Macaca fascicularis: one gene and its partners. The protein of the gene in region 1 interacts with the protein of each later gene in a biochemical or structural test. Links are inferred from orthologs where the notes say so. Each region holds a gene or a part of one and is shown in the gene's direction. Other genes may lie near its edges.

What was found.
Region 2: the proteins of FLNA (region 1) and ASB2 form a complex in vitro, tested with the Homo sapiens proteins (3 studies listed by BioGRID, with this or other methods). The link is inferred for Macaca fascicularis from reciprocal best matches to the Homo sapiens genes FLNA and ASB2.
Region 3: the proteins of FLNA (region 1) and ITGB1 form a complex in vitro, tested with the Homo sapiens proteins (3 studies listed by BioGRID and IntAct). The link is inferred for Macaca fascicularis from reciprocal best matches to the Homo sapiens genes FLNA and ITGB1.

The regions. Positions count from the first base shown.
Region 1 is NC_088395.1:160,382,239-160,385,909, forward strand, and holds the end of FLNA (filamin-A), read left to right. Parts: intron 1-433; coding exon 434-566; intron 567-1,265; coding exon 1,266-1,442; intron 1,443-1,605; coding exon 1,606-1,824; intron 1,825-1,907; coding exon 1,908-2,111; intron 2,112-2,423; coding exon 2,424-2,611; 3' UTR 2,612-2,931; downstream 2,932-3,671. UniProt on the Homo sapiens protein: Promotes orthogonal branching of actin filaments and links actin filaments to membrane glycoproteins. Anchors various transmembrane proteins to the actin cytoskeleton and serves as a scaffold for a wide range of cytoplasmic signaling proteins.
Region 2 is NC_088381.1:161,986,813-161,991,854, reverse strand, and holds the start of ASB2 (ankyrin repeat and SOCS box protein 2), read left to right. Parts: upstream 1-1,690; 5' UTR 1,691-1,815; intron 1,816-5,042. UniProt on the Homo sapiens protein: Substrate-recognition component of a SCF-like ECS (Elongin-Cullin-SOCS-box protein) E3 ubiquitin-protein ligase complex which mediates the ubiquitination and subsequent proteasomal degradation of target proteins.
Region 3 is NC_088383.1:33,708,897-33,713,887, reverse strand, and holds the start of ITGB1 (integrin beta-1), read left to right. Parts: upstream 1-1,639; 5' UTR 1,640-1,742; intron 1,743-1,915; exon of another isoform or gene 1,916-2,839; intron 2,840-4,991.

The DNA.
Region 1 (3,671 bases):
TGGGTTCCAGGCCTCTGCTCTGGCCGGGTGCAGCCCACGCTTGGGGTCGGCAGGAAATATCCTGCCCACCACGTGGAGTTTTTCTCGTGTCTCAGGTCTAAAGGCTTTGAACAGAAGCCTGTGCCCCTTGAGCACCAGGGCTGTGGTTTAAAGAGGGACAGCCTGCCAAGGCTGGGTGCTGCCCACAGGGTGGGGCCGCCCTCCCTTCCTGCCACCTGGGTGTGTGCGATGGCAGAGTGTGGGGGCAGGCGTGGGGATGTGTGCCTGTGGCTTCCTGCCCCTTGCAAATCAGTGGCTCTCCCTCTTTAAACCAAGTTGGACGCCAGATGGGTAAGTGCAACCCGCGGGCCTCCTGCTCCTGGGGCCTTTCCTTTCTCCCTTGCCCTTGCCCTGGCCCAAGCCCCCCATCTAACCATGTCTGCTGTGCTTCCAGGAGTCAGGGCTAAAGGTCAACCAGCCAGCCTCTTTTGCAGTCAGCCTGAATGGGGCCAAGGGGGCGATCGATGCCAAGGTGCACAGCCCCTCAGGAGCCCTGGAGGAGTGCTATGTCACAGAAATTGACCAAGGTGAGGCCCTGTCCCCGCCCGGCCGCCCTGCCCTGCTGGTTGGAAGCAGGCTGAGAGTACAAAAGGAAGGTACCGCTTCTGTAAGCAGCCAAGACGGGGCCCCATCTCCTGGCCCCCCTAAGCCAAGCAACCCTTTCTCAATTGGTGACCCAAGCCATTGTGAATGTGGCTCGCCGCCCATGGCTGTTAGGAAGGCCTTCTACCCTGAAGTACCATGCTGTCGCCACAGGCAAAGACTCAAAGTCCAGCCTCAGTGCTGCTCGGCCCTTTAGCCATGGCCATGGTACTTGTGCACAGGCCTGGGGCAACCTTGGGGGTAAGAGGAGCCCAGTGGGCTTCATTTCACAGCCTAGTCCTGCCCTTCCCAGCTGCGTGACCTGAAGCAAGTTCCTGCCTGTCTCTGAGCCCGTTAACATGCAGGGGATATGTTGTTCACGGTAACCTTTCTTAGGAGGCAGCGAGGCCTGGGTTTGGCTTGTAAAAGATTTCTGTCCCAATGCACCCTGGCAGTGGGCAGCTTGAGTGTCTAAAGCTTCAGCCCTCGGGAGGTCTGCTGCAGGGTGCAGGTGCCCAGCATGGCTGGGCTCACACTGATGGACCAGCAAAACGGGTAGGGCCAGGGTTGAGGCTATTCCTCAGACACCATTTGCTGGTTTGAGGAGGAGCCCCAGGCCCACAGCATGGCTCCCTGCTCCTCAGATAAATATGCTGTGCGCTTCATCCCTCGGGAGAATGGCGTTTACCTGATTGACGTCAAGTTCAATGGCACCCACATCCCTGGAAGCCCCTTCAAGATCCGAGTTGGGGAGCCCGGTCATGGAGGGGACCCAGGCTTGGTGTCTGCTTACGGAGCAGGCCTGGAAGGCGGTGTCACAGGTAAGTCTGTGGGTGCGGCTGCAGGTGTGCATGCAGCTGTTAGACCCCTGCCTCCAAGCTCTTGGTGACAACGGGAGGCATCTGGAGGTGACAAGCCTGTGCTGGGTGGCTGAGGACAGGGAGGCAGACCAGTCTGGCTCTGCCTGACCTCCTGTGCTCCCAGGGAGCCCAGCTGAGTTCATCGTGAACACGAGCAATGCAGGAGCTGGTGCCCTGTCGGTGACCATTGATGGCCCCTCCAAGGTGAAGATGGATTGCCAGGAGTGCCCTGAGGGCTACCGTGTCACCTATACCCCCATGGCACCTGGCAGCTACCTCATCTCCATCAAGTATGGTGGCCCCTATCACATTGGGGGCAGCCCCTTCAAGGCCAAAGTCACAGGTAAGCCTGGGGCCAAGCTGTTGGTACCTGCCCAATGCCTGGCACCATGGCCACCTCTTAGCCCCACCCACTCTGCCCTGCAGGCCCCCGTCTCGTCAGCAACCACAGCCTCCACGAGACATCATCAGTATTTGTAGACTCTCTGACCAAGGCCACCTGCGCTCCTCAGCATGGGGCTCCGGGTCCTGGGCCTGCTGACGCCGCCAAGGTGGTGGCCAAGGGCCTGGGACTGAGCAAGGCCTACATAGGCCAGAAGAGCAGCTTCACGGTAGACTGCAGCAAAGCAGGTGGGCAAACTCGGGCCCCCGGCCCACCTTCCCACCAAAATGAGGCCAGAAATCACAGGACGGCCAGTATCTGAGAGAGGGGGGACCACCTTTGGGGTATGGCTGTCACTTCTAGAGCCACCTCCTGGACCCTCAAACAAAGGCCAGGGAGGAACTGGAATCTGCTAAGCCAGCCTGGGTTGGGGAGGTGCTGGCAGCTCTTTAGCAAGAGAGAACTGTCACCCCAGAACTGGCTAGGGACAGGAGAGGAGAGAGGACACCAGCGGGAGGAAGGGGGCTGGGACCTGTGACTGAGGACCCCTCTTGCCTCAGGCAACAACATGCTGCTGGTGGGGGTTCATGGCCCAAGGACCCCCTGCGAGGAGATCCTGGTGAAGCACGTGGGCAGCCGGCTCTACAGCGTGTCCTACCTGCTCAAGGACAAGGGGGAGTACACACTGGTGGTCAAGTGGGGCGACGAGCACATCCCAGGCAGCCCCTACCGCGTTGTGGTGCCCTGAGTCTGGGGTCAGTGCCAGCCGGCAGCCCCCAAGCCTGCCCCACTATCCAAGCAGCCCCGCCCTCCTCCCCTCAGCCCTGGCCCCTGGGCCACCTTGGCCGCCTGCCTGTCACTGCAGCCGCCCCTGCCCTGTGCCGTGCTGCGCTCACCTGCCTCCCCAGCCAGCCGCTGACCTCTCGGCTTTCACTTGGGCAGAGGGAGCCATTTGGTGGCGCTGCTTGTCTTCTTTGGTTCTGGGAGGGGTGAGGGATGGGGGTCCTGTACACGACCACCCACTACTTCTCTTCTCCAGCCAAGAGGAATAAAGTTTTGCTTCCATTCTCCTGTGGGTGGCTGTAGCTTTGTTGGGGTTGGGGGACCAGTCAAGGCCAACCTGACAGGGGTACCAATGAGCATATCAAAGCGTGGGCCGACCACAGGTCACCTCCCTCCAGGGCTCCTGCTTCACCCCACCCTGACTCCAGAAGGCTCCATCTATACTTGCTTCCTCTGCCTCCCTGAGTTCGAGCCAACGCAAGGAGAGGGACATGTAGCAACGCGGAATGGAGCCCAGGCTGCAAGGAGGCAAAGAGCTGGGGAGGAGAGCCCATTACTGGGTAGGGTGATGTCAGGAAGGCTCCCTGGTGGAGGTGGCCAGATAGTCAAGAGCCCTCTAAGCAGTCCTCAAAATCACAGCAGGCCCTGGCCATCTGCCAGGTAACTTGAACATGCCACCATTCCCCTGAACAAGGGATTGGGATGAGGCCCCCTCCCCCAGGCTCGGTACAGGGCCCTTTACAGGTGGCAGTAGGTGGATGCATTCTAAGTGCCAATCCCAGGTACCCTGGGGCCCCTGCTGAGTATCTCCTCATTGGTACCCCTGCCGTGGATTCCCACACTAACCTATGTTCTCCCACTGTAAAGACTGCTCCCAAACACACAACATCCCAAGTCGTCCTGGCTCCTAGTGCTGCCTGCATGCTCTTGGGACATGCCAACTGCAGCACACAAAGTTGCCTGCTCCGCAGGCCAAAGGCTTCAGGTGGCTTTGGCCCAGATCAAACCCCTGACAAGCACACCAC
Region 2 (5,042 bases), on another chromosome or scaffold:
GTGTCCGACAAGCCCCCATCGTCTGCTGTCCACCCCCACCCCCAAGTGCATTTTCTGTGCTCTGTGACTCTTATCCACAACTTGGGTCTTGATTTTCTAAAGCTGAGTCCAAGTATAAGACTCGGGATCTGGAGTCTGAGTTTCTCTAGCTCTGTTGACCACAAGAGCTTTGTCTGGACTGAGCAGGTAAGGCAGAGGGCGACCTAGGAAGGGCCTTGTGTGATTATGGCCCACCTTCCAGGTCGGACTGGGGAGGGGCAGGCGGTGGGCAGGAAGCAGAGGAACCTGTGTTTTGTCTCCAGCAAGGAGCCCAGGAAAGCAGCCCGGCCTCAGGGAGCTGTCTCACAGAGGCCACTGGAACGTTCTACCGGGGAGGAAACACCCCCAAAAGTAAAAAAAATCTGACAGCCCCTTCTCTGCCCTTCTCCTGCACTCCCTCCATAGCACATGGGTCTGGAAGGGACTGAACCTGAGCTAACTTTGAGGGGCCACCCAGCCACAGTGGCCTGGGAAGACTGTCCCAGCTGGGGTGATGAGCAACTTGGCAGGTACCAGGGAAGCTGGGGGACTGCCTGGGGACCACTAGTGTCCCTCCTGTCTTTAGCACCAGTCATACCTCCAGAACCTTGACCCAACCCCATGGCACCTTGTATACTGAGATGTATTTCCTTGTGGAATATTCGAAGTGCATGTAAAGGCATCCTGAGGTTTCCTGAGTTTTAATTGGTGAGAAATCATGCTGTGGCTGTCATAAATCCCACATCCTCCAAGGGGAATGGGCCACTGAAATGAAAATGATTCTCCACATAGAGGAACAGACCAAGTCATGTTTCTGGACCCCCAACCCTGAGGCGTGAGATGTGAATACACAGGTGGGAGTGTAGGTGCCTGGCTGAGTCCCATCACATCCCAGATGCTCAGTGCGTGTGGCTGTGTGTGTGTTGTCTTTGACATTCGACCTATTCCGGAAATGGGACATTCTTCCCTAGACCAGGAGGAAGGGCTCCCTTCTGCTGTGTATCTCTGCCCAGGACTTGCCCGCATGCCTCTCTGTTTGTTGGCTCATTTGTACCTTGGCCCTTTGTATCCCCAGCCCCACCCCACAGTATCCAGCAGCCAGACACCTGGTATCCCCAAATGCTGCCACAAGTTCAGCACCGAACCTTGATTTCTCCAAAGCCCTTTTACATCAACTCCTTCATCTCCTCTCTCCCCCACTTCCCTCCTCTTTCACTCCATCCTCTTCCTTCCTGCTGTCTTGCCTTCCCTCCTTTGTTGCCTTTTCTTCTCCTCTTCCCCTTTCTTTCTCCTCCCCTGCTCCTCACTCTTTGTCTCCCAACTCTGCGTCTCCTCATCCTCTTTCCCTGCCTCTGTCTCTGACCCACTGCATCTCCTGTTTGGCTCCCTCCTGGGTAGTTCCAGAAACATACCCATATATGGCCTCCATGTCAAGGATCACAAATGATGACATCACGTGAGGGCCAAAGCTCCGGGATCCTCTCTGAAGTGAGAGTCTGTATTCGATGCACCCAGAGGAACGGAAGGCAGGATCGCAGCTTCCTCAGTGCAACCTCCAAACAGGAAATCTGAGATGCATAACATCTTATAGTTTGGCTTGTCAACGTTGGTCATGCGGTGGCCCCAAAATAAACTCCCTGCTTCAAAGGAGAGCGTTTCAGAACTGCCTGGCAGAGCAGCCAGAAGCTTGGGGCCAGGGCAGAAGGAAAACTCGGGGAGCATGTTCTGAATTCAGACACTCTCAAGAAAATCCTTTGTATTACCCCTGAATTGTACCCTTGTTTCAGAGCCTAACAGGTAATGCATGCTTTCAACTTTCTTATATAGATCTTGCAAAAGATTGTTTGGCTGGCTGGGATTTTCAACTGCAGTACTTACTGGAAACCTCTTGTAGTCAAACTGCGATGTTGCTTTTCCCTCTCTCTCGTATTTTCTTGAGTTATACAGCATGCTGGTGACTTTCATTTTGGATGCAATGAACAGAGGCTCAGCAATTTGCACGTACTTACCCATTCTTCTGGAGGACTCTCGCTCAGAATATCACTCTGCTGTGCACTTCTAAAAATGGAAATGCAAGAGGAGTTATCAATGATGCTATTGTTGGGTCCGTAGGTCTTGGGCAATATCTGTCAGACAAATGACTTTCAGAAATGCTTTCAGGTCAGGTGCACAGATAGAGGTTTTCATGAGTGGGAGTTAATTTAATGTAACTGTTGCAGAGTGCCTAGGCATGCACGGTATTGTGGGAGACCATAGCAACCAAGGTGCCATGGGCTCTGCTTTCAACTGCTTGGGGTTAGGAGAGGAAATGGAGGAATGTTATTTATGTGAGATTTAACAAAGCTGTGGAATGCAGGGATGCAAGAATACCATGCATGTGTGTGCACACGCATATGCATGATGCATTTAAGGAGGCCATGGCCTTTGAAAGGATAGGTGGGATGCCTCAGGGTGGAACCAGAGACCTCTAGTTGGAGGAGCAGCTTGGGCAAAGGCTGGGAAGTCAAGGGACCTGGGGTGATGGTAGAAAGTGAAATGTGGCTCTGGCAAAGGGTCCTGCACGTGAAAAATGGGGGTGAGGCTGGAAGGGGAGGCCAGAGGGAGAGGCAGATGCTTCCAGGCCAAGCAAGAAGTTGGAACACTTCCTGAGAGTTTTTGAGCAGAGGACAGCACACACATAGCCACACGCACTGAGCATCCAGGATATGACGGGACACAGCCAGGCACCTACACTGCCACCCGTGTGTTCACATCTCAGGCCCCAGAATTGGAAGCCCAGAAACATTACTTGGTTTCTGGTGCCTCTAGGTGGAGAATCATTTTCATTTCAGTGGCCCATTTCCCTTGGAGGATGTGAGATTTGACTTCGGTGGCTCTTCGGGAAGCCAGGGGTATGAACTGGAATGAGGAGGCAAGGAGGCTGCTGACTCCGAGGGAGGGCAGGTAAATGAGGAGGGCCTGAAGCAGGGCAGAAGCTGAGCCTCTGCACAGGACAGGAGTGCTCTTCTAAAGATAAGCTTGTTTCGTGAGGTGAGGGCTTGAGGGGGCTCCGAGGGGCACAGACAGATCCAGCTGGGGCCAGCTCCCCTGCCACAGCCCTGAACTCTGCCTGGGCAGAAGCACCATGAGGCAGCCAGTGGCAGATGCTGGAGGCACTTCCAAAACAGTTGGACGGGTCCTGACAGCTGATGGCAGGCCCATGTGCTGCACAGTGTCCCCAGAAGAAGCTGGCAGCGGCTCCACTGGGCGCCATGGTAGTTTGCATCATCTGTTCTTGCACAAACAGGCCGGGTCATGAGTGCCTTGTGGTGGTAGGGGTGGGGGACGCTGTATAATCCACCCACCATGACCTTACAGTGACAACACAGGCCATACCAGCAAGCATTCGTTGAACACTAACCCAAGCATGTGTGCAGGTTTCTCTCATTGACCTCTGTCAAGGCTGCCATGAGTTATACGTGATTGTTACTCCCATTTTCAGGTCTGGAAACAGGTTATGAGAGCTTAAATGTCTTGGGTAAAGCTGGGCGGCCGTTAAGTGTTGGAGTCAGGAATCTGACCTCTTGGTCTGCAAGGTCCACATTCAAAGCCACAGTGTCCTGTGGCCTCTCGAGGTGCTGTGGCAGTGGTAAACAGGACCATCGTGCACCCAGGGGAAATGTCTCTGGCACAGTCAAGGCATCATAAGGTGCCCGTATATTGTGGACAGGCTAGATCCAAAGAGTCTTCCCAAAGGAGGCACAAAAATATCTCTGGGTCCGCCCAGTGTCCTTCCATTTCTGCGCTGCAGAGGGTCAGTCTGCCCACAGGAGGCGGCTGTCGCAGGAGTGGCTTGTGTCTGTGGTTCTCTTTCCTTAGCACCATCTTTTGGAATAATTAATGCCCAGGAATATGAATGAAGTTATTAAGAGCTTTGTGGTTGAGAGGAATGTTTTGGGGAGGTGGTTCTGAAATAAAAATAAATTGATTCCTAAACTGCCTGTTTTAAAGAATGGGACATAGAGGAGTAAAAAAGGAGAGAGGAAAGCAGAGACAAGAGAAGAGAAAGATTTAAATAAAGGCGGAGTCAGGGGAACTCAGAGGAGAGAGGATAAAAAAAGGAAAAAGCACCTCGCCGATTTGGGTGAGATCTAGCTTAAAAGATTTCCAGCCAGCCCTGCAGGTGAGGAGGGGACTATGGAGGATTCCCTCTGTCCTGCCCGAGCCTTCCCGCTCTGCTGCCTGGAGTTAGAGCTTCCAGAAGCCCCATGTGTTGTGCCACTAAGGAACCAAGGTGAGGGTTCACCGTCTTTGGGTGCCCAAGGGACAGAACAGGGCTAGGTGGGCTGCACTAGGACTGGGGTGCTGGGGAGGCTCAGAGGTGGACTGACCAGCCCCATCCACCCCTGTCACCCCCACCTCCAGTCACTGGCACAGATGACAGAGCCTGGCATTTGTAGAGCCCAGGCAGAATATGGGTCAGGGACCTGGAGTCCTGTGTCCTGAGCTGTGAGTGTCTGAGCCACACAGATGCGGGGAGGGGCCAGCCTCTGGCAGGGCCAGGAGGCAGCAGAAGGGCCCTTCACTCAGGAGGTAGAGAAGAAGGTGACCCGTGAGCCTAGAGACTCAATAGCTCAGGGACCCAAAGAAGTAAACTGGAAGCTTGGCCTTTGTGGGTGCTTTTCTTAGCTGGTGGTGTTGGCACTGCCGCAGGTAGTGGGCATCTGGGCCTGTGCAGAATGGATGCTCATCATTGTAACAGGGCACTTTCCACATAAAAATGGGAGGTTTCTCCTGAATTTTTCCTTCTTCCCTCTCTTCCTCTCACCGTCATTCTTGCTTTCTTTATGTAGTGGCATCGTCAATGTACATCAATAAGTAAATAAACTACCAAGACTTTTCATTAGGGTCTTAGATTATTCGGGAGAGATTCACCCAGATTTGGGTCAGCAAGAGGCACTCCATTTGAGATGGAGCCTCAGTCTCCTCCTCTATACAATGGGCACAGAGTGTCTGCTGGCGTGGGAGCAGAGCCAGCTTTGGAC
Region 3 (4,991 bases), on another chromosome or scaffold:
GTGCTCGACAGTGGTGTTAAAAAGGTCAGTAAATTGCCCTGGAGGAACTAATTTAGTTTAGAGTTGTGCATATGTAAACCTCATAATGTTCTTGTAGCAAAGATTAGCCAGTGCCTCCACCAGTCATATACAGGAGAAAAAATTCTGAGAATTGTAGTGCAAATCAGGCATGGACCAATTATGCTTTTGAACTATACAGTTTTCTGTAATGAGACTGGGCTAATTCTGATGAATTCTCAACAATGGTAAAATCCATACCTTTAAAATTCAAGAATGTTGTGTTCTAATGGCAGTTTGACCATTGAGATATTAACATAGGAACATCATTTAGCCTCTTAAGCTTGAACATCCATTAAGCGGGAAAAATAGTGCTTATTTCCTAGAGGTCTGCAGACATTGGCTAACCAATAGTTTTGATTTTGCTGGTAAGTAATGTGCAAATTTTCTTAGATGTGATCGCCTCATTTTCTCTTATATTTTAGATTGGCAGCAGCCAAATGGGCGTTCCAGCCCCTCATCTCCTGCAAGATTCTTCTCAGTTTCATAAATCTGGTAATTTTTGAGCTCTTTTCCCAACAGGGTGCTGCAGCTCACCAAGTGGAACCTACAACATTTTCTGCTACCAGGATAGCAGCTTGCCAGCAGCGTATACTGAAATTACTGGGTTTCAGTATGATGTTGGTTGGTACGAACTTCAATCATCGAATCGACATGCGCCCAGCCATTCTCATAATGAATGTTTCCTTCTCTTTCAAACGTTCTGTTTCCAGCCCCCATCTCCTTTTTTTTTTTCTTTTTTAAAGAGGTTTGAAACAGAAACTCTACTCCGTAGGAAGAAACTTTTCCTTCTCATCCCTGTTCCCCATAAAGGGACCTCCAGATAAATCTATCAAAAGCAGGACCCAACTCACCAGGTTTTCTAAAACGTTCCCCAGTCCCACCACCCTTCGTGGCACCCACGGGTTTCCCAAGTCTTCACCTTTCTCTTAGACACACGCTAGCACATTATCACTCCAGAAAAGCAGTCCTGGCTTAGCCAGTTCCCTTCCAGAATGACCACGTGGTTTTTGGCCCCATGGAGTCCTGCAGGGTATGGGGGGGTTCATGGTACCGATTTGCCTCGGGACTGAGGGGGCTTCCGGGATGCAGGACCTCCCGGGCTCTCAACGGGACATCAGTGGACAAACGGGAGGGAGGGTCGGACACGCGGATCCGAGGAAGCGGAACTTAAAGAACACGGGCCCAGCAGGCTACACCAGGAACGCGCGGGGCTTTAGGGCGCAACCGACCCCTCCCGCCCTTCACAGAGGAGGAAACTGAGGCATGGCGACTGTCTCAGCGGAGTCCCGGCCCTGCCCTCCACGGCCTCCCTCAGGCGCGCTCCCGAGCGGGCCAGTTCCTTTGTCCCGGTCGCGCTTCCTGCCTCCTCCTGCGCCTCCTCCTCGCCCCGGGGCCGGGCTGACGCGGCGGGAGAGGAATGCGTTTCCGGAGGGAGAGGGCGGTGGCGGCCTCGGGAGCGGGATCAGACGCGCAGAGGAGGCGGGGCCGCGGCTGGTTTCCTGCCGGGGGGCGGCTCTGGGCCGCCGAGTCCCCTCCTCCCGCCCCTGAGGAGGAGGAGCCGCCGCCACCCGCCGCGCCCGAGACTCGGGAGGCCCCGCCAGCCCGCAGGAGAGGCCGAGCGGGAGTCGCGGAACAGCAGGCCGGAGCCCACCGCGCCGGGGCCCGGACGCCGCGCGGAGAAGGTAGGCGCCGGCGGGCCTCGGGTGTGGGGGTGCGGGCCGCGGCCTCGGGTCTGCGGTGCGCAACAGCACTTAACAGCCGCCGGCCCGGGCCGCGCCGGGACCTTTGTGCCAGGCGTGGGGGCGGGGGCGGGGGCGGCCGCGGGCCGGTGGGGGCTGGGGCGGGATTCCAGGCTAGTCCGGGAGGAAGTCCGCACACCGCCACCCCCCTCGGGTCCCAGGCGCTGGCAGCGTCCGGGCGCCGAGTCGGCCCAGCCGCGTTCCGAGCGCTAGGGTCGCGGGCCTGGGCGCTGTCACGTCGGGGCTGCTGGAGCTGCGGAGGACCGGGCCTGAGCGGCTCCTGACACCTGCGGTCTCCCGCCAGGCTGGGCGAGCGCAGGTGGGAGCCAGCGAGGCCACCCGGGGCTCGGCGTTTAGGACTCAGCGCGCCCCTGGACTGGTCCTGCGCCTTTGTCTCTCGCTCCCTCGCTGGCTGCTGTTTTTGGAGCAGCGTCGAGCCGGCCGTCGGCGCCCGCTGTTGGGACTGGTCTTCTCCGACTGGAGCCGGGATAGAAAGTGGCCTCGCGGAGCCGCTGGGGACCGGGGGCGCGGCGGCGGCAGTGCAGTTCACTTCCCGGTGTTTATAAACGCGAATGCCGGGAAGTCAAGAGTCGCCGGCCCCTGCCGGGCACCCCGGGACCAGGACACAGGGCCACGGCCACTTTGCGCTCAGACCCGGTCCGCGAGCCTGAGAGCCCGTCCTGTGTCTAGTATCATTTTTACCGCGTGTCATTTCTTAGGCTTCATAAATTGGATTTATGAGACTCCCACTCTCTAAGTAACTTTCATTTAATCAAATTCGTGCTTTTAAGTCCAAAGCTTTGCACTCATTGGTATGATCATTAGTAAATTGCATTCTCTAAGCTTCCGTTTCCTCATCTGTGAAATAGGAACAATACTACCTACACTAATAATTCATTTTTATAACAATGACAGCGAGGGCCAGGTTTAGCTCTAGGCATTTCATGTGTATTATTTAATTCTGGAACTGCTCTAATGAGATTGCTACTGTTTCTATTTCCATTTTCCGAGTGAAGAAACGGAGGCACAGGGAGCAAAAAGTAAGTTGCATATGGTCATCGGGAGCTCCTGGAGAAGGCATGGGGTCTAGCTCCAGAGCCTACGTTTAAACCAAAAGTAACCTTCCTAACTATAGTCGTGAAAATCAAATGCAAAATGTAAAACACTTAGCTTGAGAGTAGATGCTCAATGAATATTGACTGCTTTTCAGCCCTTCTTTTATAGTAAAAAGATTTCTCGGAAGGTAATTGGTAACATCATTAGTAAGGTTTCTTTGGGCCAACGTGCCACATGGATAACAGGTGGATAGAATTGCTAGGTTATTTTGTTTTGTTTTGAGACAGGGTCTCTGTCGCCCAGGCTGGAGTGCAGAGGAGCTATCACAGCTCACTGCAGCCTCAGCCTCTCGTGCTTAAGTTATTTTTCCACCTCAGCCACCTGAGTAGCTGGAACGACAGGCGCCTGCCACCATGCCCGGCTAATTTTTTAATTTTTTGTAGAGACAGGATTTCACTATGCTGCCCAGGCTGGCCTCAAACTCCTAGGCTCAAGCAGTCCTCTCTCCTAGAGCTCCCAAAGTGTTGGGATTACAGACTTGAGCCCCCTGAGCCTGGCCCTTAGGTTATTATTATTTTTCTTATTGTACTTCTGATGCTACAAAAATAACGTTCTAGAGGAATTTAGACATCTTTCTTAAACCACATATGCCCTTTACGATAGGGTATACAATAGGCCACTTTTAGAAATGATTAAGGAACTTTAGTTGGCAGTTACCTGTTCATTTGTGGACATCAAGGCCCAGAGGGGTCAGGACTTAGAGTCTCACTGTAATTCTCATATTTTTAAATAATGTTGGCTCATTGATCAATATTATATAAGTGACTGAAGATGGTGAAGTGTTAAATAAAAAACATTGGTATTTTGATTACAGGCATTTGGGGGGAAAGCCATTTTACTTACCCCAAAATTGAGTATGAAGGTGGAAGATGTTATTAGAATACTAGCTAAAAGGACAAAGAATGTGGTTAATAGTTTAATTGTGTAAAAAGGAAGCAAATAGACTGTTTAACTCATCTATGTTGACTTCAGACCTAGACCTACAATTTTATGTGATTTTCCTAACAATGTAAAGTTCTGTATTAAAGTTATTTTTGAATACCTTCAACATTCTGTACATGAAATGCATGGAATCAACAATTCTGAAAGTCACTGCATTTAGTAATTTTAACAATTAGGCAGCTTTCTTCTTAGCTTTCTGGTCAGTATAATTTAATTTAAATCAGCCCCAAATTACCATCACGAATGAAAATGTAGTTCTACATTGGTGTTCTTCCTAACTCTGGGAGTGACACTGGGGACAAATGGTCATACTATAATAATGAAAAGTGGTCAAACAACATGGTGCCAGTTTTTCTAAGAGTGCTTGCCACTGATTTTAATGTCTTTATTGTTTGACTTCTTGATAAGTAAGTTGTGGCTTACAGCAGGGAGTAGTACAGTGTTCTGTCCGAAAAAAATATTCATTAATATTCTGTAGCTGCTCTGGTTTGCCCTTAACCATGCTGCTAGTGTGATAAGCTGAAACATCTTGTAAAAGTTTCAGAGAGCTTTCAAGTTCCGAGAACTTAACTTTCTGAGTATGTAACAAGCTACATATATCTGAAAGGATTCATTTGGACTTCTGTCAGATTTTAGCAGATTTTCTCACTCTACGAGAGAGTTAGGATCTGTTAGGTTGTGGGTGGAATCCTAGAGATTATGCCAGGTAAATATGTAAGTGTCTGTATTGTATTAGCAGTGTTTACTCTGACTTGGTTCTAGGTTCTGAGAATTTGGCTGGTTGTTTTTTCAGAGGTGGGAAGTGTGGAGTAGAGAGGTTAAGATACAGAAAGGTACATTCGTCTTCTGAATCCTGAAGTGTCATGCTAGGGGTATCTATAGCTGTGGAAAACTGAAAGAATATTATGGTATGTACCCAGGTTAAAGGGGGTACAGTGCGTAAAAGTCAGAATATTAGCAGCCTTCCAATATGTCTGTCGGTAGGTGAAAAAAAATTTCTCTCTTTCAGGAGCTGTGTACAAAAGGATCCAAACTATACTTTATACATGTGTTACTGCTTTAAAAGTGGCTGTGAGTGTTTAGAGGTCAACTGACTTTAAACTTGCCGTTTGATTTGTGACTTTAGAAAGTAGA